Linked DNA regions of Danio rerio. The protein of the gene in region 3 interacts with the protein of the main gene of each other region in a pairwise test. Links are inferred from orthologs where the notes say so. Each region holds a gene or a part of one and is shown on either strand. Other genes may lie near its edges.

The links. The genes of interacting proteins can lie anywhere in the genome.
Region 1: the proteins of siah1 (region 3) and numb interact in a two-hybrid assay, tested with the Homo sapiens proteins (2 studies listed by BioGRID and IntAct). The link is inferred for Danio rerio from reciprocal best matches to the Homo sapiens genes SIAH1 and NUMB.
Region 2: the proteins of siah1 (region 3) and ctsk interact in a two-hybrid assay, tested with the Homo sapiens proteins (2 studies listed by BioGRID). The link is inferred for Danio rerio from reciprocal best matches to the Homo sapiens genes SIAH1 and CTSK.

What each region holds. Positions count from the first base shown.
Region 1 is NC_133192.1:57,926,467-57,931,112, forward strand, and holds part of numb (protein numb homolog), read right to left. Parts: intron 3,322-4,646; coding exon 3,016-3,321; intron 1,697-3,015; coding exon 1,553-1,696; intron 1,309-1,552; coding exon 1,156-1,308; intron 1-1,155. UniProt on the Homo sapiens protein: Regulates clathrin-mediated receptor endocytosis. Plays a role in the process of neurogenesis.
Region 2 is NC_133191.1:32,638,098-32,642,906, reverse strand, and holds the end of ctsk (cathepsin K), read right to left. Parts: intron 1,971-4,809; coding exon 1,805-1,970; intron 1,702-1,804; coding exon 1,593-1,701; intron 1,436-1,592; coding exon 1,336-1,435; 3' UTR 831-1,335; downstream 1-830. UniProt on the Homo sapiens protein: Thiol protease involved in osteoclastic bone resorption and may participate partially in the disorder of bone remodeling. Displays potent endoprotease activity against fibrinogen at acid pH. May play an important role in extracellular matrix degradation.
Region 3 is NC_133193.1:19,853,227-19,857,872, reverse strand, and holds part of siah1 (E3 ubiquitin-protein ligase Siah1), read right to left. Parts: intron 957-4,646; coding exon 106-956; 3' UTR 1-105. UniProt on the Homo sapiens protein: E3 ubiquitin-protein ligase that mediates ubiquitination and subsequent proteasomal degradation of target proteins.

The DNA of each region.
Region 1 (4,646 bases), on a different chromosome or scaffold from region 3:
AGGCTCTGCTTTATGTAATTAAATCATTTTATTGTTAATGTACAGTAAAGCCGATGAATCCATGGTGAGGTAAGTGGTGTTATAAAGTACGCTGCGCTCCATTTGAAGTAGTACCTGACTTGTGTCCTCGCGTCCTCTGGAGTTAATTCTTCCAAGTCGAAACTTGGCAAGTCGAAACTTCCAAGGACACAAGTCCGAACTTTGCGTACTTGGTATTGAGAAACAGTTAATGGTTGCGTCCAAAACCGTATACTTCCATACTATATAGTACGCTAAGATCAGTATGCGAGCAGAGTAGTATGTACGAATTCGTAGAATTTAAAACTCAGTATACGAGAAGTACTCAGATGACCTACTACTTCCGGCGAGATTCTGGAGTGTGCATCCCATGCATGCTGCGCTATCCCATGATGCCCCGCAAGATAATTCATGAATGGGAGTGAAGTGACGCAACTGACGCAGGTAGGTCACGTGACCATGACAAAATGGCGGATGTATTACGTCCGAATTCCGTTCATACTTTTCACATTCATACTGTATAGAACGTACTTTTCTAACGGCTGAGTAGTACGTTTAAAAACAAATGCAGTACCTACTGAGTAGTGGGCGGTTTCAGATGCATCCAATGTCTATTTGTCAATATTTTTGTCGCTAGGCAACCACTGAATCAGCTGAGTTTTGCGCACGAGTGTTGCTGTTGATATTGTTATAATTGTAATTTTTAATATTGTGACATTCAAGATCTGTGAGTCATTCAGCACTGGCTAACTCGAAATAACAACCACACGTCTCTCCTCCATCTTCAAATGTCTCCATAGTCATCATGACAACACAAACACTGCAGGCACCTCGATGGAAATCCCGCCTCTGCTTTCATTTGATTGGACAATGAAACAGACGCGACTGACGTAACGCGCTTTTCCCGCTCAGAGTTGACCTGCGAGCACACAGAGCGCAACAGCAAAAACTTGAGGAGCAGCAGGCGGTTAAAGGACGAGGTGCGCAGGTTCATCATCAGCATGCAAAACGCTCGCGGCCGTTAGTAAATCATTCAACGCAAAAAACGCAATTGGTGTGGTCGGCCCCTAACACTGAAAGCAAGATGCATTAGTGAGCGCTTGTTCTGCATGGCCAGCAGGAAGCCTGTGCTCTTACCTGTGTGTGCTGCGTGTGCCGGGGCTGTGTTTGGGGCTTTGGCCCAGGGGTTAGTCTCGCGGACGGGCAACGGTGGTGGCGGCAGCACAGGTGAGTTAGCTGCAGTGGTTACAGTGACGCTAGGCGGAGGGAAGGCAGGAACTGCGCCATTAACTACAGCAGCAGACAGGACCAGAAGATTAGAGACAAAGCCGGACACATACACACACGCAGGCGTTCACACACACACACACACACACACACTAGGGGTTGCAAAGACTAGCTGATTAGCTCTGCCACTACTCTACAGGGATGTAGTAATGAACCACACGCTGGTTTAAAATTGATAAACAGCCAACAGCAGACTAGTGAAGGAGTAAGCATTGATGTAAGCTGTAATATACACACACACACTGACCTGGAGCGGCAGGTGATTGTGGTGAGGAGGCTGGTTTGGGCATGGGTGCAGAGGAGAAGGGGTCTTCAGGAGGCCCGCTGAAGGTGGACGTGATCTGAGTGCACAGAGAGCTGATGCTGTCCACCTCACCCTCCACCTCCGGCACTGACACACACACACACAAACACACACACACACACACACACACACACACACACACACACACACACACACACACACATTTATATCATCTAATGAAAACTACAGCATCGTCACACAGACAGAAGGATGTCCCTTTTCCAGGCTGTTATTTTAATAGTAGTTGGTGCTCTAGGCTAGTTTTAAGAGTAGATGGCGCTTTAGGCTTGTTTTAATAGTAGATAGCGCTCTAGGCTAGTTTAACAGCAGACAACACTCTAGGCTAGTTTAACAGCAGACAACGCTCTAGGCTAGTTTAACAGCAGACAGCGCTCTAGGCTAGTTTAACAGCAGACGGCGCTCTAGGCTAGTTTAACAGCAGACGGCGCTCTAGGCTAGTTTTAAGAGTAGATGGCGCTCTAGGCTAGTTTTAAGAGTAGATGGCGCTCTAGGCTAGTTTAACAGCAGATGGCGCTCTAGGCTAGTTTTACAGCAGACAACACTCTAGGCTAGTTTTAAGAGTAGATGGCGCTCTAGGCTAGTTTAACAGCAGACGGCGCTCTAGGCTAGTTTAACAGCAGACGGCGCTCTAGGCTAGTTTAACAGCAGATGGCGCTCTAAGCTAGTTTAACAGCAGATGGCGCTCTAAGCTAGTTTAACAGCAGATGGTGCTCTAAGCTAGTTTAACAGCAGATGGCGCTCTAAGCTAGTTTAACAGCAGATGGCGCTCTAAGCTAGTTTAACAGCAGATGGCGCTCTAGGCTAGTTTTTAATTGTAGATGGCGCTCTAGGCTAGTTTTAAGAGTAGATGGCGCTCTAGGCTAGTTTTAAGAGTAGATGGCGCTCTAGGCTAGTTTTTAATAGTAGATGGCGCTCTAGGCTAGTTTAACAGCAGACGGCGCTCCAGGCTAGTTTTTAACAGTAGATGGCGCTCTAGGCTAGTTTAACAGCAGACAGTGCTCTAGGCTAGATTTTAATAGTAGACAGTGCTCTAGGCTAGATTTTAATAGTAGACAGTGCTCTAGGCTAGATTTTAATAGTAGATGGCGCTTTAGGCGAGTTATTAACAGCAGACAGTGCTCTAGGCTAGTTTAACAGCAGACGACGCTTTAGGATAGTTTACCAGCAGATGGTGCTCTAGGCTAGTTTAACAGCAGATGGCGCTCTAGGCTAGTTTTTAACAGTAGATGATGTTTGCCCCATGGAACATTAATCCGCATCGGTTTCTGTTTTCCCGTTTGAATTGACTTGTATGCAATTTAAAAGTGTAACCTAATTCCGTGTTTGGTGTGAACAAGTTGTTTTTTTTAAATATGATGAAAATGTAGCTGCTGATGGGGCATTACCAGTGTTTTTGATGGGGAAGTCAGACTTGCGCTGCATGGTGGAGGGCAGCTCGTTCATGCGCAGCGACATCTGCCGCTTAAAGGGCGATGTCTTTTGGCTGAGCGCCGGGAAGCCCCTGAAGGAGCCTTGGCGAGCGAGAGCCTCCACAGGAGCGTGCCGGCGCGGGATGACATGAGGATTTCCGTCCTGCAGGCCCAGCGGAGCCATGGGCAGAGGAGGAGATGAGGAGCCATTGGGGCCCGCCAGAGTCACCACCACTGGGTTACAGGAGCCGCCGGAAGAGCTGCTTATCACTAAATCTGAGTCTGAGAGAGAGAGAGGTTATTGTTTTTATAATCATATTAGTCATTTTCCTATTTCTGTATGTATCAAATTTTTTTTTTGATAATGTATCTATGATATACACTCGCCGGCCACTTTATTAGGTACAGCTCTTCAACTGCTCGTTAACGCAAATTTCCAATCAGCCAATCACATGGCAGCAACTCAATGCATTTAGGCATGTAGTCAAGATGGTCAAGATAATCTGCTGCAGTTCAAAGCGAACATCAGAATGGGGAAGAAAGAGGATTTAAGTGACTTTGAACGTGGCATGGTTGTTGATTTCAGAAACTGCTGATCTACTGGGATTTTCACGCACAACCATCTCTAGGGTTTACAGAGAATGGTCCAACAAAGAGGAAATATCCAGTGAGCGGCAGTTCTGTGGGCGCAAATGACTTGTTGATGAGGCCAGAGGTCAGAGGAGAATGGCCAGACTGGTTCCAGCTGATAGAAAGGCAACAGTAACTCAAATAAGCACTCGTTACAACCGAGCTCTGCAGAAGAGCATCTCTGAACACACAACACGTCCAACCTTGAGGCGGATGGGCTACAGCAGCAGAAGAGCACACCGGGTGCTGCTCCTGTCAGCTAAGAACAGGAAACTGAGGCTACAATTCACACAGACTCACCAAAACTGGACAATAGAAGATTGGAGAAACGTTGCTGCTCTGATGAGTCTCCATTTCTGCTGACACATTCGGATGCTCGGCTCACAATTTGGCCTCAGCAACATGAAAGCATGGATCATCCTGCCTTGTATCAGCGGTTCAGGCTGGTGGTGGTGGTGTAATGGTGTGGGGGAGATTTTCTTTGGGTCCATTAGTACCAATTGAGCATCAACGCCACAGCCTACCTGAGTATTTCTGCTGACCATGTCCATCCCTTTATGAGCACAGTGTCTCCATCTTCTGATGGCTACTTCCAGCAGGATAACGCAGCATGTCATAAAGCTCAATCATCTCAGACTGAACACGACAATGAGTTCACTGTACTCAAATGGCCTACACAGTTACCAGATATCAATGCAATAGAGCAGCTTTGTGATGTGGTGGAACGGGAGATTGGCATCATGGATGTGCAGCCGACAAATCTGCAGCAACTGTGTGATGCTATCATGTCAATATGGAGGAAAATCTCAGAGGAATATTTCCAGTAGCTTGTTGAATCTACACAATTAAGGATTAAGGCAGTTCTGAAGGCAAAAGTGGGTCCAACCCGCGACTAGTAAGGTGTACCTAATAATGTGGCCAGTAAAACTAACATCTAGAAAACTTTAGTTTAATTTTACAGGACCTTTAATATAAAC
Region 2 (4,809 bases), on a different chromosome or scaffold from region 3:
TATGTTAGAGAAAATATAAAATAATTTTTTTTAAAATAGCTAAAATCAAGAGAAACAACAAACAAATGTGTACAATTTTGTTGAAATTTTGTAGTTTGCAATTTATTTTTGCAATATTTAGCATGAATTTAAATGTATGATCTTTCCGAATATGGTAACTAAAATATTACGTTATTATATATATACTTTATGTATTTAATATCTATTTAATGAATCTGTGTTGTTCAAATGCACCAATATATATATTACCTTTATTCACTGAGAAATGGAAACAAAATAATTATTTTCTAAATGGGCTGTACTCATTTATGCTGAGCACTGTGTATCTGATATGTTCATTTATGTAATAATGTCATTTTTAGGTATCTCAGTTATCATATTGCTTTTTTCATGTTTACATTTAAAGTGTACTTGTTATTTGTACACAACAGTATTATTCTAATACACTATATACATCAGAATCTACATCAATTGTATTTTTGAATCACTTGTTTAAAGATTTTATGTCTTAATCAGTTTTAAGTGAATCAACGTCAAAATTTATAAAGGGGAACGCTGGGTCACTCATCTGTTCATGAGGAAGTGGTTCAGTTATGATCATAAGATTCTTTTTTAACTAACATGTAACTGTCATCATTTCTTTGTTTGAACATCAGATTACATGCACAGATTAGCTCTTTCAGCTGCGTGCTGTCTTAAAATTCATCTTGACGTCCTTTGGTTTCAACTTCCCCAAATCCATCTGGTGGTTTCTCTTCCACTTCTACAAAACCGAAGACTTCGTAACCTTCTTTAGCTTGTAGGACAAAATCTCAAAGTTCAAAATAAAGGTGGTTTGGCACTCAAGTTTTATTGTTTAGATTTTATTTCAACAATGTTTCTGTACAGAGATGTGAAACTGTCTCGCTATCAGTCTGTTAGTGTAATTTAAAAACTTACATCAGACATATTTGATGTACTCAAATGTGATGCACTCAGAATTAATGGTCAAAAAAGTAATTTCTTTAATCAAAACATCATAAAACACGTGTTTCAGAGATCCGATCCCTCCAGGGGAATAAAAAAAGGAAAGAAAGAATCAAATATAAACTGACTGCATACTCAATATCAAAACTTCCCTTCTAAATCTCAAATATTGCACAAAACAATTCTTACTGCTGGATAAAGAACAAGACATCTAAGACAAAATAGGACCACAACCTTGTGTTATTAAAATCAAATGCCTCTTTTTGAAAGCATTTCCCCAAGCATGGTTTCATGTTGCAGTGATAGTGATTGAGTCCCTTTTTTGGTACTGGTCAGCAGCAGACAAGTTTGATCTAGTTCTTCCAGCTCTCACATGACGGGAAAACTGGCCAGGTTTGCAATACCGCAAGCATTGTTTCGGTTACGAGCCATCAGGACATAGCCCTTCTTTCCCCACTCTTCACCCCAGCTTCAAAAACAGAAAAAAGGTGTCTTTTTATATTATATTTACACACAATTATTTGACTGTATAATGTAAATTACTGTATAAATTACCTGTAATTTTTAAATAATATTTTATGATGTTAAACAGTGATATTTTCATGAAAAACAAATATTTTTCTCACCTGTTCTTCACAATCCAGTACTTCTTGCCTCTCGGTGTGGCTCCGTAGCCCACAGCCAGCACTGCGTGGTTGACATCTTCCTTGTTGCAGTTTGGGTCATAGTATACACCTGTCAGTGAGTTTTGGGTTTTATTAGTGACTTTTATTATACACATATCAGCAAAACAACATGGAACTACAGGCAATATAGTTGTAGAAGAGATGTTAAGTACCGCTTTTGTAGTACAGGAAGGTGGACTGCATGGCATCTATGCCAACTGACACGGGTCCCACATTGGCCACGGCGGCGGTCAGTGCCCTCTCGTTACCCTGAGGAATCTCTTTATAGCCTCTACAGCTGGCTGCTACTCCTGAAGTGTTGTAGGCACACTGCTGATCCTGCAGAGAGCAGTAGTGAGACGAACATTTATAAACGTCAACAAAAGACCAAAGTAGTTTGTACAGCATAAGCATTTTGGTCCGAAACAAAGTCTCTTAACGCAGTTTATTGTTCAGTGACTTTTGTAATTATGTTACTAAAGAGTTTATCGGTCCAAAATTGAAAACAGACTCTCCGACTTCATCAAAAGAGGGAGAAAGGGAAGTTTAAAAACTGTCAATCAATTTCCAACTCAACCAATTGGGAGAGTTTTGGCCGTGGCTATTGTATTATACAGAGTCAGTTCAGAGTTCAGACATTTTGGGACCATGACTGTTTACATGGGAGGTAAAACAATGATAAACGTTTGATGGAATGGATTAATTTGAATCACCTAACGTACATCCCTGCTGATAAAAACAGCTTAAACCAGCCTAGGCTGGTTGGCTGGTTTTAGCTGGTTGACCAATCTGGTTTTAGAGGGGTTTGGCCATTTCCAGGCTGGTTTCCAACCATATCCAGCCTGGTCTTTGCTGGTCAGGCTGAAAATGACCAAATCCAGCTAAAACCAGCTTGACCAGCCTGGTTTAAGCTGGACATAGCTGGCTAGGCTGGTCAAGTTAGTTTTAGCTAGTCATTTTCCAGCCTAACCAGCTAAGACCAGGGGTCCGTTCTTCGTACGTGGATTACTCAATTAGCTGGATTTGGATGTTGACGATTTGACACGATCCAGGATCGTTTCGTTCTTAGAAGCTGATCCGAGAGTTGTTGTCATAGCAACAGTTCTGCTAGGTCAAACCTGATCGGGAGCAGGTTCAAATCATATAAACAGGATTAGATCGGCTCAGTTCAAGCAAAGATAATACAGAAAGTATGTTCCGAATTCTGGTATTTTCTTACAGTAGTAGTTATATACACTTGGGAAAATGGTACATATTTTTTAAACTATATATATAAAGTTATAGTCATTAATAAAATGAATTAAGTTATACATATTAATTAAACGTATGCAATCTGCACCCTCGAAATGAAAGTACAACTGCCACCTGGTGGTGCAAAGAGAAAACTTATTGATATGAACTTTTTAGATCGCTTTAGTACAAATTGTGTATAATAAAAATGCACATATGTGACTTTTTAAAGCAATAATACATTTATGCAGTCATAAACTTGAAAGTTAATATGCTGGTGATTTTGATGCTTCACAAAAGTTGCAGCTGCCTTTACCAATATGAAAATACTTTTGTAAACAACCAGTTATTCTTTACGCCGATTAAAAAACGGCAACTATAATAAAGAAAATATTTTCTAAATGTGGAACTAAATACATTGATTTGCATTGAAATACATGATGAATACACTTGACACATGAAAGTGGAAATTGCAGCTCACAACAAATGTGAAGTTACTGCGTGTCATATTTAACAAGCCGTTTACTGCTAATTTGATGTCATTTTGCTCACATGGATAATTGAATATTAATCAGATGATGTCATTACGCTGCTGTGCCGTCAGCCAATCGTTGCATTGCTGATCATGATTTCGAGGATCGATAGATCTGTCCTTCAGCGATCTCAGATCAGTTTATCCAGACATTCTAATCTGATTCGCAAACTCGTTTGAAGAACCAAATTAGCGAGAGATCAGTTATCAAGATTAAAAGATCCAGGATCTGCCAAATCATCTTAGATCATTTAAGCGAGGTACGAAGAACGGACCCCAGGCTAGAAAAGGCTGGAAACCAGCCTGGAAATGGCCAAAACCCCTCTAGAACCAGGCTGGTCGACCAGCTAAAACCAGTCAACCAGCCTAGGCTGGTTTAAGCTGTTTTTTTCAGTAGGGATGGTTTCTCTTCACAGATAAGGTAAACTTTACAAGCCTTTATTACAGAATATAGACCATTTCAGTGTGGTCATGTCATTGGGCAACCCTGCTTGTTATCACACTATTTCATAACTGTAACAAGAGGCAATTCAATCATTACTTAATGTTAAAACAGCTATCATAACGTTATTTATCAATATGTGGCTCATTTTTGATTCTCAGAAGATATAGAATTTAAAAATGTAAAACAGGAAATACATTGGGACCATTGTTTTTGTTTACATCCCTCAAAATGTTCTATGAAACAGTAACATACGATAAAGACAAGAATTATCATATAAGGGAGAGTTGAGCACAAAAATGGTTTGAAAATCTGCTTTGTTATTTAGCTAAAGCAGGGGTGGCCAACCCTGTTTCTGGAGAGCAACCTTCCTGCAGATTTCAGTTGCTACCCATATCAAACACACCTGAACCAATTAATTAGGACCTGAACACCACGTGATAATTACAGGCAGGTGTGTTTGATATGGGTTGCAATTGAAATCTGCAGGAAGGTGGCTCTCCAGAAACAGGGTTGGCCACCCCTGAGCTAAAGTATCTAACCCTAGTACTGCAGAAACTACAAACTTCACCATTAAATCATTGTTAAGCTATGATCTCATTAACATTTTCAATTTAAATAACTTTAACGAATCAGTCCTTGTTTAACAACAATAGAAAATCTGCTTCATTATTTTAGCTTAAGTATCTAATACAAGGGGGCTGCTCAACCCTGTTCCTAGAGACATACCTTCCTGCAGAGTTCAGTTGCAACCCATATCAAACACACCTGCCTGGAATTATCAAGTGCTGTCCATGTCCTAATTAATTGGTTCAGGTGTGTTTGATCAGGGTTGGAGCTGAACTATGCAGAAAGGTAGATCTCCAGTAACAGGGTTGAGCATCCCTGATCTAACACTAATACTGCAGAAACTATACTTCACCTTAAAATCATTGTTAGGCTGTGAAATCGTTAACATTTTCAGTTCAAAGAAC
Region 3 (4,646 bases):
GGTATCCTGCGGTGTTTTGAAATGTCTGGTTTCATGTTTGTGTGTGTGTGTGTGTGTGTGTGTGTCTGTGTTTGTATGTGTTCAAGTATGCACAGCTGTTAGTCCTCAGCACATAGATATGGTGACGTTAATGCCCAGGTTGCCGTTCTCGGCAAACAGCTGAGCAATAGAGGTGTCAAACACCAAGCAGTCACTGTTCATGATGGCGGTGGCGATGCCCTCATGGATAGAACGTGGCGTCGCCTCCCAAGTGAGTCGCCGCCTGTGGCCGTTTAACTCCAGTCGGTAGGCGAAGTTTTCCGCTTGTTTCCGTGTGCCGATCAGTTGGACGATGGCAAAGAACTGTTGGTGGCCGTCGTATTTCTCCTGCTTCTCCAGCACAAGCATAAAATGGAAGCCGAAGCAGGATTGCATCATGACCCAGTCCACTGCTCCAGGCAAGTTGATGTCTGTGGCCAGGAAGACTATATCCTCACCTTGTAGTGTGGTTATGGACTTGTGCTGGTGCAGCAAGTGGGGCATAACGGCGTCGAGAGATCCCTGCCACTTGCAGGAGGCGCCAGGACAGGGGCAAGAGTATGGCCGGAATTCACAAAGCTCCTCGTGTTCAGCTTTGTCTGTGTGCGGTAGAGTGACTTCGCAGCCCGATGAGGCGTACTTGCAGGGGAAAAGCACTGAGTTGGCCACTTTCTCCATTGCCAAATTACGGATCGACCCAAGCGGGCCTCTGCAGGTGGGGCAGCAGGTGAGTTTAGGCCGGCAGTTGCTACACACCAAATGGCCGCTCTGGCACTGCAGGATGGGCGGCAACACATAGTCGAAACAGACCGGGCACTCAAACAGGCTGGCGAGGTCACTGTTGGATGCTGTGGTGCCCGACAAAGTTGGAACGCGCTGAGAAGGGGGACACTTAGAGGTTCCTGTGGGCAGCGCTGTGGCAGTCTGGCGACTCATTTCTACAAGAGGAGACAGAGAAGAGAGTTAGACTGGCTAACACAGATGGCCAAAGGTAATGGATTTGCTTGCACTTACAAGGAACAACAATGAGCAGGGGTGTGTTTCCCAAACAATGAAGTATAACACGTAGCTAAACCACCACAGTACGAGGCATCATTTGGGAAATAAACTATGTAGTCACAAATGTTTTACAAACTCTGTTGGAGATTGTCTGAACCAGGTTAGGTAAATGCAAAACTTCCATGATGATCAAGGGGCAATTGCTTTATCTGAACAGATGCCACTGCTGCATTAAGAGTAGCATAAATGTTTTCATGCCCATTTCCACTGAGTGGTACAGTACGGTAAGGTTCAGTATGGGTCACCTTTAAGGCTCGTGTCTCTACTGCCAAAGAGTACCAATGGTACTCTTCTGGTGGACGTGGCGTTCGACAGAAACCTGCAGTCGACGTCATTCTTGATTGAATTCACATATCGTAGGAGAAGCACTCCTTACTAAACAAATGCTATTTAAACATATGTGTATTACTGCCTTTCTATGAACAGAATTTGATTAAAGCTGCAGATCAATGATAATGTGAAATAGCCTACTGTATCATCTGCGGTTGTATAAAATAAAACAGTTATGAACACATACAGACCCTTACAGTCTCTAAAATGTTACCAATTACAAATAAACAATTCCCCAAAACTTACATTTAGGCCTTATTTGTGTTCATAAACGATTAAAACAAATACAGTCAGTCCAAACCTCTCATCTTATTTTTCACCAGCACATGTAATGTTAACCTCTTGTAAAAAAGTCATTCCGGGTTCATAATAATCCAAAAGGTGATGATGATGGTTAAACATGGCAGATTGTTCATGTTTTACGTTGCTGAAAGAATCACTTGCTCCTGTTTTTTCAAGTTTCACTCTGGTGTTTGTCCGTTTCTGAAAGGATCAGATGTCAGAAGCACTTCAATAATGACGTGCACGTTATTATCATCATTAGCTCAAGAGGTTTATTTCAAATACAGACGCGCATGCGAGCTCTCTGGAGAAAGTGAAACCACTCGTGCTTTAGGCGACCTCGTAACTAACAGGACACATGTAGATTCTGCTCTTCTTCTTGGGTTTGTGGCTGTTCATTAAGATGAAGAAAAGGTTCGTTTCAGGTTCAGATTGTTATTGTTATTATTTGTATATATTTATCATGGTGTAATGTCTCAGCTATGTTTTTTGAAAATGGCGGTTCCTTTGTTTTTGTTCTCCTGGCTTGTGCACGCGCTAGTGACATTTCTCTGTAAACCAATAGCTTTAGCTGCATGTCTAGCTGTGATTTTTGGTACCCTTTTGTTGTGCTAGGTACCAATTTTTTGCTTTTGACAGTAGAAATGGCCATAAAAGTGTACTGGCACTTACTGTACCACTCAGTGGAAATGGGCCATTAGTGCACTAAGCAGAGACCACAATTGCCAGTCAGAGGATCGTTAAACTAAAACTAAAAAATTCTTCTGTCTGGAAATTACATCAAATGTGAACAAGAAAACTTTAAGCTTTCAAAATTACTCAAATTGGCTGACGTGTGTGGAATTAATAGGGTGATAACTCAGAAAATAACAGCAAGGAACTATGCTACCAACAGGCCTAGAGGTGTAGTTCCAATCACTAAAGATTGTGCTAGTTTGTGAATGTCCATAGGAAGAAGGAATTCAGGAAACACTGATCACACAGAAACACTGATCAGATGGCATCTAATGCACATGAGCACCTCTGTTTCCTCAACATGAATCAATAGACATTTTAAAACGTGGCCTCAGGATAAAAGGTACATCCAGATTCTGCTGATTCAAGCAGCATGAACTTCAAATAGAGCTATGAAAGAGTCTGAGCAGCGCAGTGTGCCTGGCAATGTCTCTTCTCCCTCAGTGGCTCAGATATAGCCATCTAGTGGCACCGATAAGTCAGACGTGGGGCTCTGGGGAAGCTATTTTTGGCATGAGTAAAATGCACAGATAGTCATGCATTGGCTTTTTTTCTTTAAAGCCAGACATGGAGAGTGGACTCAGAGGGCCAAGGCGCATGTCTGCTACAGGAGTGTTCCTATGGCAACAATCTGCAGAGCAAAGTGTAAATGTGTATGGGACGACCTGTGGAGAGAAGTATAGGATTTGCAATGGATGCAAGATAGGAGCGTGTGACCCAGCTGTAACACCCTACCGCTATATATAACCTACATCTACACAGCAATCAATAGGAGGCAAAAAAGTATCTGTAAATCAGCACAGGGGAGCAAATGAATAAGACTGATTGCTGATTTAACACTGACATCAATTAAGCGAGGAATAAAGAGACTATAAGAAAGGAGCAGCGTGGCAGGATCAGAGCGCAGTAAATCGTCTCGTGTGGGAGAACCAGGACCGTGCCAGAAAGCAGAGTGGGGGTGCGGACAGACAGTGAGCTGTGTGTGTATGTAGGTGGCTTAGAATCTGCTAGTAAACACATCTGCTCTGATAAAGCCCCAAGTATTTTTAGCCTCCTCACGGAGCAGCTCTCCGAGTATAACAACTGAGGCCAAAATTAGCCTGAGCACAACAGCTAGCACCACGTCCTCAATGCCTTTCTAGGCTTGTAGTCTAGGCTTGGTGGATTTGAAAGGTTAACAAACAAACATAGTTTTGCTTCCAAGTGTAGCACTGCTAACCATAAAAATGGATGTTGAACAAGATTTACACATGTTCCTGGATCAAGATTTTAGGGAGATGCAGAGGCATGTGTTGCATTATAATTTTACAAATGCATTTATCCAAAGTGACACTGTATTAAACAAATATATTTTTGTAAGTCCATAAAGACCAAAGCCATGGTATTTATGTTGCTAGAATAAAGTAAGATATGGTAAGATGTGTGGTTAAACACCCAGACAAAACCTCTATTTGTTTTATAACTGTAAAGAAACATTTTACAGGCGATCACATGTCTGGAGGAGCTCTGTACTGAAGCATTTAACTAAAACCACAAAGAAACACACTAGAACTAGTATAACAAAGTTCAAACTAGCCTACTTCTCTACTATTTAGTATGTGAAGTGCATAGTGCTTTCAAACGTGTAGTAATCGTAAAACAGTGGGGGAAAATTGCCAGAATGGTCTACTACTTTCACTGAGACTGTATTACACATGGAGGAATTTAAAGGTAAAAATGGCAAATATAGTAAATCAAAATTCCATTCATACAACTCGCATTTAAACTATACAAGTCTATAGTTCAATATTATGATCTAATGTTTATTTTGTGGTTTCAAAGAACATTGTTGAAAACAAAGCTGAAAAAACTTTTTCATAATTTATATGCGCACAATACTACACGCCATTACGAGGATGCAGACACAATCATGAATAACAGCATTGTGAGATGTTGGCATCTGGAAAGTACAATGTTTACGCAGTATTTAATTTAGTGATATTTATTTAGTTCTATGTTGGACCTGTAAAAAGTTGTTTATTTAAAAGCGTTTAATATTTTATTAATATAAATTTTATATTTCTGGATTTTTAATCAAACACTTGCCCTGAAATTCTAAATAAAGTGAGTCAATTTCTGAGAGTAAAAAATAAATTGTCCTTCACAGGTTTTCAATATATGTATACAGTGGTTCCTCGCTATAACGAGGTTGATCTTTTTGCAGATTTTTCTTTGCAATTTCA